Drosophila melanogaster: one gene and its partner. The protein of the gene in region 1 purifies or fractionates together with the protein of each later gene. This does not show direct contact. Each region holds a gene or a part of one and is shown in the gene's direction. Other genes may lie near its edges.

The links.
Region 2: the proteins of Hpr1 (region 1) and thoc6 purify together in Drosophila melanogaster (affinity purification with mass spectrometry, with the first as the bait; 2 studies listed by BioGRID). This does not show direct contact.

The regions. Positions count from the first base shown.
Region 1 is NT_033777.3:5,818,263-5,823,653, reverse strand, and holds Hpr1 (Hpr1), read left to right. Parts: upstream 1-2,213; 5' UTR 2,214-2,321; coding exon 2,322-2,399; intron 2,400-2,466; coding exon 2,467-3,150; intron 3,151-3,307; coding exon 3,308-3,594; intron 3,595-3,652; coding exon 3,653-3,955; intron 3,956-4,009; coding exon 4,010-4,763; 3' UTR 4,764-4,860; downstream 4,861-5,391. Other genes in the region: CG46303 (uncharacterized protein), read right to left, coding at 1,307-1,573; CG42675 (uncharacterized protein), read right to left, coding at 4,896-5,391.
Region 2 is NT_037436.4:12,190,196-12,195,610, reverse strand, and holds thoc6 (thoc6), read left to right. Parts: upstream 1-1,922; 5' UTR 1,923-2,007; coding exon 2,008-2,120; intron 2,121-2,175; coding exon 2,176-3,115; 3' UTR 3,116-3,117; exon of another isoform or gene 3,118-3,182; coding exon of another isoform or gene 3,183-3,430; 3' UTR 3,431-3,486; coding exon of another isoform or gene 3,487-4,873; 3' UTR 4,874-4,915; downstream 4,916-5,415. Other genes in the region: Est-P (esterase P), read right to left, coding at 3,183-3,430, 3,487-4,873; Est-6 (esterase 6), read right to left, coding at 5,067-5,314, 5,366-5,415. UniProt on the Drosophila melanogaster protein: The THO complex is required for cell proliferation and for proper export of heat-shock mRNAs under heat stress.

The DNA.
Region 1 (5,391 bases):
TCTGTTGTCTAGGTATAGCTAGATTAAGCTTAGCACATGACCATACCTTGTAAGCACAGCTCCTATATTTATATTATTTAGTGATTTGCCTAAGTTGTAAACGTGGTACAGCCAAAGACCCTAGAATAACAAGATGCGTAACGCCATACGATTTTTTGGCACACGATTTTTTGGCCGTGGCTCTAGAGGTGGCTCCAGGCTCTCTCGAATTTTTGTTAGAGAGCGAGAGAGCGAAGAGCGCTACAGCGAACAGCTCTTTTCAACGCACAAAGTGATAGCAGACATCTGTATGTGTGCACACGTATTCACATGCATTGTAAATTTGACAAAATATGCCCTTCACCTTAGAAGTTCTTTGGCTTTAAATCTATATTATTTTTTATCAATTGGCACCATGCGAAAAATTCTTGTTTTGCATTGCCTTAACGTTATTATTATTTGAAAATAGATTAGAAATAGTCAAATCTATGTACATATTATCACAAAAATAAATTTCAAAAATGAATTTATATAAGAATATTTGTCATTAGAGTATTCATCTTGCGGCGTGTGAAAAATTAATAAGGCAATGATTGTTGAGTGCTTGTGTCCGCACTTCGTGCCTCAAGATATGAACAAAGCAAAGACACTAGAATAATTCTATTGTCTTTGATATTACTTTTGCAATTTAATTTAATTGCATATTTAATTATTTAGTATATTTATTAAATCATTTGACTTAATATGATGTAACATTAACATTAAAAGTGTTTCAAAAAAAATATTTCGGTTTTAAAAAATTGTCAGATGAGAGACAAATTAGAATTAAACATAAATACAAATGTGTAAACGGTAGCTAATTCGAGCGGCGATTTTAACAAAGAAATTTAAAAAAGCTTTAAAATTATAATAGCCAGGGCGCGAATTTTTAAAAATTTTTTATTTTATCATATTGCTAGGAAATTGGCAAAAACTACCCTAATATGTACCATGTAAATTCGTTTCTTCGATCAGAATTGATTTCGGCCCGAAAATCGTCTTCTAGCACAACACGCACACTTATACGCGTTCTCGTCTCTTGTTTTTACTCACACAAGCAAGCAAATTATATTTTTAGATTTCTTACGCTCTAAGCGGGAGTGAGCGGAAAGAGAGTAATTTTGGCCGTCACCAAAAAAGTGGCTGCATAGTGCCAAACCAATGTATGGCCGTTACGCATCTTGTTATTCTAGTGTCTTTGGTACAGCCTAGTATAGTATGGTAAATGCAATTTATTTTTATTTAGAATATATGAGTGTTGTATATGTAGATAAAAATGTTAAGCAAGTTAGTAAGGGCACCTAGGCACTCCTCCGGGGTTTGTGAATCCGTTGGTGTTGACCAACCTGCAGATGTCCTTGTATGACCGCGCCGATTTTGCAGGCCTTTCTGGCTGTGGCTGGGAATAACCTCTGTTGTAATAGTCAGGATAGAACTGGAACCAAGAAGGCCTGTGGTAGTTGTAGTCGGGAAAAAATTCTTTAAGCACAGAGCTGCTGCAGAATCTGCTTAGCCCCAGAATCCACAGCAGAATGTATATAATCGACTTGCGCATGGCCACTTCGCCTGAGCTTAAGATTTGGAATAAAGCCGTACCCGATTCTCATTGTATACGCCTGGCGCACTTATGAAGCTTGTGCGACCTCGCACACAGTGGGAAAGTAATTGGAATCTGAAATCTATGCGTGATTGTCGGAATAGCTGATAGCGGGAGTGTTCGCGTGCCCCAGCTCAATGCTATCGTTATCTACAAACCATTCGGCCTTTAAATTGATGTATGATGAAAGTTTATTCAATGTGTGGTTTTTGACGTTTAATAAGAAAAATTCGATTTTGAGAAATGCATTTAAAATGCAATTTTTATTTATCGCAGTGAAGAATAAAATAATATATTTTTTCATTATATTTGTTACCAATTTAACAAAAATATTATGTAGTTGCTTTTTTAAAAGTCTTTCGGGTCAATAAGAAAAAAAAAGCTTACAAACAGAGTATTATGTTCTAAGGAATAGGACCTAAAAACCCTCATTACCTAATTGGTGTTTCAAAAACAGGTTTATGTGGTGCAAAAGGACAAATTTTGCTAACAAAAAAAAAAAAACACTTTTTTAAAAAAACTAACTTACAGGCGCCTAAAAAAAATTATAATCGATTTGTCATCGATTTTTTGGTCTTTAAAGTACTATAGCGGCGCATTATATACTAACCAAAACGAGTTGGCAGCACTCGTGATGTTTTGATTGAAAAAACAAATTAGTTTATTGTTTTTATCTGTTGTCGCCAAAAATATTATTTAAATCAATATGAGCACCGCCGTAGAAGTGGCTAACACGGCTCCGGAGAAGTTGGCCAACTACTTTGCGCTACAGTCGGCGTTTGAGGTAAAACGTTGATGAATGGCCCCGAAACCGGCAATGTTCCGATCTGATAGAAAATAATAATTTTCAGAAAGCCCTTGAATTGGCCATCACCGACGGCAAAGTGGAGCTGTTGGTCAAGGAGTACAATAGATTCCCGGCCAACACCGAGCACGACAAGCGCTTACCCATGGACCACGCGTTCCGCGTGCTCCTGATGAAGCGGCTGGACGAAGATGTGAGTCGCATTGGAGAGCTTGTACGCCTCTCCGTGGAAGCCACGCGGGCCGAGATTGTGTCCAACACCATACCCGTGGTTCTGCTGATCGACACCTTCGACGTGGTCACTCTGGACAAGTGCCAGAAGATATTTCAGTTTGTCGAGGATATGGTGGAGGTGTGGAAGGAGGAGATCTTCTTTTCCTCATGCAAGAACAACATTCTACGCATGTGCAACGACCTGCTGCGTCGACTTTCGCGCACCCAGAACACCGTCTTCTGTGGCCGCATCCAGCTTTTCCTCTCAAAGTTCTTTCCCTTTTCGGAGCGGTCTGGCCTCAACATCGTCTCCGAATTCAACCTGGACAACTTTACGGAGTACGGTCTGGACAGCAAAGACCACGACGAAAGCGACAACAAGGAGCTGGAGGATACCGCTGAGGACATCCCCCTAAAGATCGACTACGACCTGTACTGCAAGTTTTGGTCGCTGCAGGACTTTTTCCGAAATCCCAACCAGTGTTACAATAAGCCGCAGTGGAAGATGTTCCAGATGGTAAGCAGTGGCTTGGCACAATTACAATTGTAGAATATATATATATCTTGGAAAGAGATCAAAGATGTTTGCCAGCTAGCTTGCTCATAAATATTGGTTATTAATAATCCTGCCCCATGTTGGTTCATATTCATATATTGTTACTTTCCCCTTCCAGCACGCTGACAACATACTACAGTCCTTCTCGAGCTTCAAGCTGGAAGACGTGCGCCAAAGTAGCAACGAAAATGCGAGCGGTACTGACCAAGCAATGGATGTGGACGAGGAGGCAGTAGACACCACGGCGGTGTCTTCCGTCATCAAGGCGAATCACTTCTTCGCCAAGTTTCTAACCAATCCCAAGCTTTTGGCTCTGCAGCTCTCCGACGCTAATTTTCGACGTGCTGTTCTGGTGCAGTTTCTAATTCTATTTCAGTACCTGCAAGTCAGTGTAAAGTTTAAAAGGTTCGAATATGAAGAAAGTCCAGGGAAAACGAACAAACTTTAATGATTGTACTTTCAGTGATACTCAAACCTTGACTGCAGACCAGGCGGACTTTATCAAGGAAACAGAGTCGCGTGTTTATAAGTTGCTAGAGGAGACACCACCGTACGGTAAGCGGTTTTCACGGACAGTGTATCACATGCTGGCCCGCGAAGAGATGTGGAACAACTGGAAGAACGAAGGCTGCAAGGAATTCAAGAAGCCCGAGGAACCAACTCTCAGCGAAGAGGACTCGAAGCCAACTCCCAATAAAAGACCGCGCCGTCCATTGGGCGATGCACTGCGCGATGCTTCCCGCAGCGGCAAGTTTTATTTGGGAAAGTAAGTATCGAACGTAAGTCAAACTAAGCCAGTTCTAAAATATTTCACTTCCAGTGACAACCTAACACGTTTGTGGAACTACTCTCCAGATAACTTGCAGGCCTGCAAAAGTGAACAGCGAAACTTCCTACCGCTGCTGGAGACATATTTAGAAACGCCGCACGAAAAGGTTGATCCCGCTTTTGAGTGGCGAGCTCTGCGCTTGCTTGCCCGCCAAACACCGCACTTCTTTACGTCGCTCTCTCAGCCATCGAGCAAGATCTCCGATTATCTTGAGCAAGTGCGCAAACGTCTCATCCGGGACAAAGAGCCCAAACCTGCTGCCCTTTTATCGAACAACTCTTCTGAGAACAATTTTGGCCTGTCGGTCAACAACGTTCATACGGAGGGCGAGCAGGATGCTACGGTCGCCCTTCAGGACGGTGAACCAGAGCAGGATCTTGAAGTAGAGGACAACGAACCTGTGGTGGAAGAGGTGGATGAGGTACCGGCGCACGAGAAACCCCTTATGGTTACCAAAGAGCATATCGAAGAGGTGGCGCCCCTTATAGGCGAGCCATGGATGAAGGTGGGAAAGAAGATTGGCTTCACCAACGATGAACTTCTCTTCTTTCAAATGGAGCATCCTACGGCGAACGTGGCCTGCGTTAAGATGCTGACAAACTGGATATCCGATGACGACGACGCCACCCTGGAAAACTGGGCGTACATGCTAGAGGGATTGGAGATGAATAAGGCCGCCGAAGCGGTGAAGGCGATTATTGAGCGCGAAAAATCTGGATCCACTGCCGCCTTCTGCCTCCGGTAACGACGATGAGGTGCTCTCTGATTAGCATCATCCCCATGCCGATCCCACCCTAGTTATTATAATTTCGTTTCAATCATAAAACTTCTTTATCACAAGTAAAAGAATGGGCGAATATCTATTCCCAATCACCACTCAACGCCTCTTGGCCGGCGGACCGTTACGGGGCTTGTTGTGCACCATGTTAACGCACTTGGGGATATGACGCTCCGCAGCCTGTTCGTTGAATCGGCGACCACAGTGGGGACACTGGACATAGTCTGGATTCTCCGAAGGTGGCGGTGGTGGCAGGTCGCTCAACTTGCCGCCGCGCGCCAAGTGCGCCTTCACCTGCTTGGCCGCTCTAATCGACTGAATGAAGTCCTCGTGCTTCTTACGCCAGTTGTTCTTCTTCACTCCAGTGGTCAGACCCTTCTGCTGGGCAGCACTACTGTAAGTTGAACGGTTGCGATTGCCCTTCGACTTCATATTGAACGCCGCGGCCTCGGTGCCCTCGATCCGCTGCTTGGAGGCATCGAATATCTTGCGTTTGGTGGTCAGCATGCGCTGGCACACCTCCTCGTGCTTCGCCAGACGATCCGTGTTGAAGTGGCGTCCGCAGTAGCGGCATAAAGCGGTGCCCTCTGGGATT
Region 2 (5,415 bases), on another chromosome or scaffold:
TCCGGTTGGATCTAATTTAATTCGCGAAGGGGAAGCGAGGTATGGCAAACAAAAATAAGCTAGATAGAAAGAAGAAAGAGCCGCTTAGAAGAAATTTATGGCTCTTGGGGATTTCCCAAAATACAACCAAATACTGGGCCACACAAAAACAAACTCCCATGACTACATCATGAGCTGTTGTGTAGCAAACAAAATTTGGCTAAAATTCATCAAAGGCATTTATCATTAGTCGGGGTGAAAAAAGAAAGAAAGATGATCGTTTGATCGCTTGATCGCTTGATCGCTTGATCGCTCGATAGCCGTTACTCAAATTGAAAGAAACTTTTTGGCGCCAGTAAGCCAGACTTGAAAATGTATCTGTTTTCGGTTCCGAGCACATTGGAATTCCCAGAAAAAAAAAACACGTGCGAAATGCCAATCCAAATGGTCCAATAAAAACCTAAGAAAGTCGTCAAAAAAAGCAAATCGTCTTGGAATCTCGTTTCAAATTGGCATGATACGTCAAGTTGTCAAATTAAATTTGCATGCCATTAATATGATGCCAAATGAAGCGCAGCTACAGTCGTTTAAAAATAAAAACTCGATATGATAAGGCATTGATTAAGCCGGAAAACCGCATTTCAAACGCCCAACGAGAAGTTCCACAAAAGTTCTGGGCCTTAATGGGAATTGGGGAATTTTCGATGTTTTTTTTTTTTTTTTTTTTGTTCAAGTATGTGAATTATGCTGCGACAGTTCGAACAGCTCTGTGGCGCCAAAATAATTAATTTCAAATCGACTGTCTCGACATTAATAAGCCATAGGTATTTGCATATAAATTAGAACGATTAGAACGGCCGAGAACAACAGGCTGAAAAATGTGTATCAACAACACACATTAGAATTTGTATTAGGCTAATACATGACTTCTGTATTAATCTTAATATTTAATAGGGGAAGAGTATTTTATTAAATGGGAAACATTTAATTTCAATAGTCTTCATTTTATGTGTAACATCGACTAGATCAATTTTAATGTAGAAAATATTGTATTGTATTTCTTAATCATCAACATGGAATTTTTGATGAAGCCATAGCATCGTAGAATTTATAAGGTAAATAAAAGATCAGGTAAATTATGTTATGTTTGATTGGTAAACAACGGAAACCTGATGTTGATAGCCATTTAATTTCAAGCTGCCTATTATTGTTTTCCAATCATAAGTGGGCAATCAGCATTTGTTTATAGGCAAACATGGGTACGAGCACGCTCTTCAACTTTAAAGATCTCCCCAAAAATTGACGTCATATTGAAGACTTTTCCATCATCATCTGATGATTCACGTTAATCCAATTTATTAAGTCATGAATTGAATGGATGGAGTCAAATATTAAACGTCATGATGGGTTTACAAATCCATATTTTAAGGCGATTAGTCAACTCAACTAGTATTTCACCTGTCTGAAAGGTCTCAGACTTTCTTAAATATCGGCTCTCACTGTGACAATGCAAAAAAAAATATTTAATTAGCTGAATGCCATCGAACTTCATGTCTGATTAAAGCTGAAATTCCGATTTTAGGCCGCTGTCCAGTTTACAATTAATGAGATTAATCGTAAATAAACATTTACGGAGAGCACTCTTACTTCTGACACACACGATAATTTGTGGCAGACACATGGAGAATGAAATTTTTTATGAGGAAATCGAATTGCAATCTCCGGCGAACGATTTTGCTCATGCAATTGCAATTACAATTGGTTTTCAATTGTATTTCCTCAAAATCAAAAGAATGTCGAATGATTGAAAACAGGTTATTTCGTAAATTCAAAATCCACGTTACGTTGGCTAACGGTTAACGTAATTGAACGTAACGTGAATGCTACGTAATATACTAACGCACTTTTAGGTATATTTTTCAAAAATAATATACTGTTCTTGGTATATTGCTCAGGAACGGTCACTCTAGAGAGCCGGCGTAAACAAAGCGATACAATTTGGTTAAATTAATTAAATTAGCTAAAAATATGAAACAAAAGGATCTGAAACGCGCTTACAACAATGTCCTAGCACAGGCTATATCCGGCTCTAAACAGTACCTATTTGCGGGAAATCTCTTTGGCGACATTTTCGTACTTAGGTGAGAATCCTTAATTTGGCGCAATTTCCCAACTAATTGTTTTTCTATTTTGAAGAATAAAAGAACTGGACAAGGGTTCCGAGGAGCCACCTGGCAAACTGAAGATCTTCCCGCAGGGCAGCGATGTGGACATCAATTACCTGGCCTTCCATCGCGATTTCTTGATAGTTGGTGCAGTGGGTCTTATTTACGGATTGGAATGGAACGAGGAGGAGGAATCTCTGGCCACCAAACGGTCCTGGGAGGTAAAGATACCCATGCAAGTGGATGCCGTCGAAGTGCCGGATGTGAACTCCATGTGGCTGGACTCGGAAAATAGCATCCTGTTTGCTGGCTGTGGCGACGGAGTGATCTACCAAGTGAGTTTGGAGGACGGACGAATTCAGCGCGAGTACCGCGGACACACAGACTACGTGCACAGTGTGGTGGGCAATGCCAACGGACAGATCTTCTCTGGCGCCGAGGATGGCACTGTGCGAGTGTGGAGCACCAAGCAGCAGCAGCACACTTCAATGCTGGAGCCTTACAAGAACCCAAATCTGTTACGTCCGGATTGGGGCAAATGGATAGGAGCAGTGGCTGTCAACGAGGATTGGCTGCTCTGCGGTGGTGGACCCAAAGCTTCAATTTTCCACCTGCGTTCCATGGAAAGCACATGTGTCTTTAGCTTCCCCGGACGCGTGCATCTATGTGACTTTGTGGACGATTGTGTCTTAATCGGTGGAGAGCACAATCATGTGCAATCCTACACTCTAAATGGAGTACTGCAAGCCAATATTCCCGTGGAGCACACTGCCTGCTACTCTGCTGTTTGGCAAACATCGCCCATTAAATTCATTTCCATTGCTGGTTTCAGCAACAAGTTGCATATCCTCAAGGATTTTCGCTTCCTCGACAGCAAGATTGAGATGTATGGGAATGTGGAGGGCGAGGAAAACGACCCAGAAGAAGAAGACGAACTTATTGAAAAACCTCTGACAGTTGAGGCGGCATAAAGGTGTAATAAATTTGTTCTTTAATTACATTATTATACTGTTTACATTTTTTAAATGCATTTATTCCTTAGGGAAACCGAGCATATTCCTCGTTTTTACAAGCGTTTCGTGAAATACGCAGCACTTGATATTCCTTGCTGTTCACATTATTTTGGAAATTACATTCTCCAAATGTTAATGTTCCCTTATCGTTGAGTGCGAAATCCTCCAGCATACCTATAAACTTTTTTGAAATAACTTCTTCATCCGGACGAATGCCGGTACGGTATGCAGCTGTATTGAAAATCAAGAAAAAGTCATCTCCGTGGACAGTACCTTTAATAATAAGAAAGCTAGAGCTTTAAGTATTTGAAACGCAAGTATGTACCCACCAAAATGTACATCTGTTCGATTGGAAAGCAATTGACCCACTCCGGAATCGGTAGGATTATCGTAGACAAAAGAATAAACCGGACTTTTGCCATACTTTCGGTGAAGATCTATTGCACTTGGCACGCTATTCTTGAAAAGAACATCAGTAAACATTCGCTGCACGTTCCAATAACTTTCCACACTGAATCGCCGATCTGCTAGATACTGCTGCCTGAGATCAAATGAAAGATCATCCATATCTTTGATGGTTTTCTTGGCGTCCCGATAGAAGAGCAAGTATGGTGCCCAATCAAACCATCGATCATTGAGTAGGTCAATCCAACTCTCGCCAGTTAATTTGTTTCTTTCCAACAGCTGAGCAGCGTTGTATCCCCCGTCCTCAGTGGTGTACGTCACAGCCCAAGGGACTTGGGCAAACTTCCCGCTCTTAATCACTGCTCTTGGGTCCTCGGTTAGAAAGGCGTCTGGTGCATCTGACGGCTCCACAACAGGTCCAAAAGCACTGAAGGGTACATAGGAAAACACAAGGAAGCTTCGGACAGCAGAGACTATATCGCTAGCCGGCTTAGACTTCAAGCAGTCCTTGAGTTCTGCGGAGACATTTGTGTGTCCACAACCGACAATACGACCCAGTTCAAATGCACGTCGTCGTCCACCCTGCTGTATGACCCAAGGATCCAATGCATTGCCGCTCACCGAAATCGCTCCTTTGGCCAAATGTTTGAAATCCTCGTGCAACAGCTGCAAATGAGCCGAAGCACCGCCTGCAGAGTGACCAATGAGCACAATATTATCTGGCATTCCACCAAAGTGAGCAATGTTCTTCTTGATCCATTGTAGGGCCAGACGTTGATCCTTTAGACCATAGTTTCCCGGCAAGTGTCTATCGCCGGTACTTGCAAAACCCAATGGTCCAAGACCAAAACTTATTTTTACCACAAGCAAAGTTCCCTCACGCATAATGGAGTCGTGTCCATATATGGATCCACTACCGAACATGAAAGCACCTCCATGCAGGAGTACTACGACAGGAAAGCTGCTCCGATTGGGTTTCTTTGGCTTATAGATGCTTACCGTTAAGCAATCCTCATCACCCATCAGCTTATTGTTTTCGTTTATAAACTGATTCCACTGCATGCACTCAACTGGAGACTGCGTGGCATTGAAAACATCAGTCCAATGATGACTATACGGCTGAGGTGCTTCAAAACGGAGGGCACCAGTTGGATGCTCGGCATTGGGAATCGATTCGTAGCTGTAGTACAACCCATTATCTTTGCCACGGATTTTTCCATTTGTTATCTCAACAATCAAGGGATCAGCTTCAGATTCTAAAGCTGCTATCCACAGCAAAGTCAGGCACAACAGCCGTTTGAATATACTCATGATCTGGAACTCCACAAAGTACTAATCAAACTGCGGGTAAACAAACGTTTATTATTCTTTATAAAGAAACAACAAAAACCAAAATATAAAGCGACAAACACGTTTTGTACAAATGATATTTAAAGCCAGTTGAGAATAATTAAATAATTAAAAATTACACAGAACGAAAAATTTTTGATTTTATTCATGTAACTTACGGAAATTCCACATGCTGCCTATTCTGGCAGCCATCAATATAAATAGCTAATAATTGGAATTTCTCACTACCTACATTATCTTTGAAATCGCATTCACCATATTTTAGAGAGCCATTATCACTCGAAGCAAAATCTGCCAGCATATTGATAAAATTTCTCGAAATTATCTGCTCATCCGGACGCATTTCCACATCTCGTACGAAATTTTCGAATATCAAAAAGTAGTCGTCACCGTGTACAGTTCCTATAAAAGTAATGATTTAACTAAGTCCATTTAAAAGTACGATTTCCTTACCAAAATCATAATCGGTTCGATTGGCCAGGACCTGTGCGATTCCTTTTTCG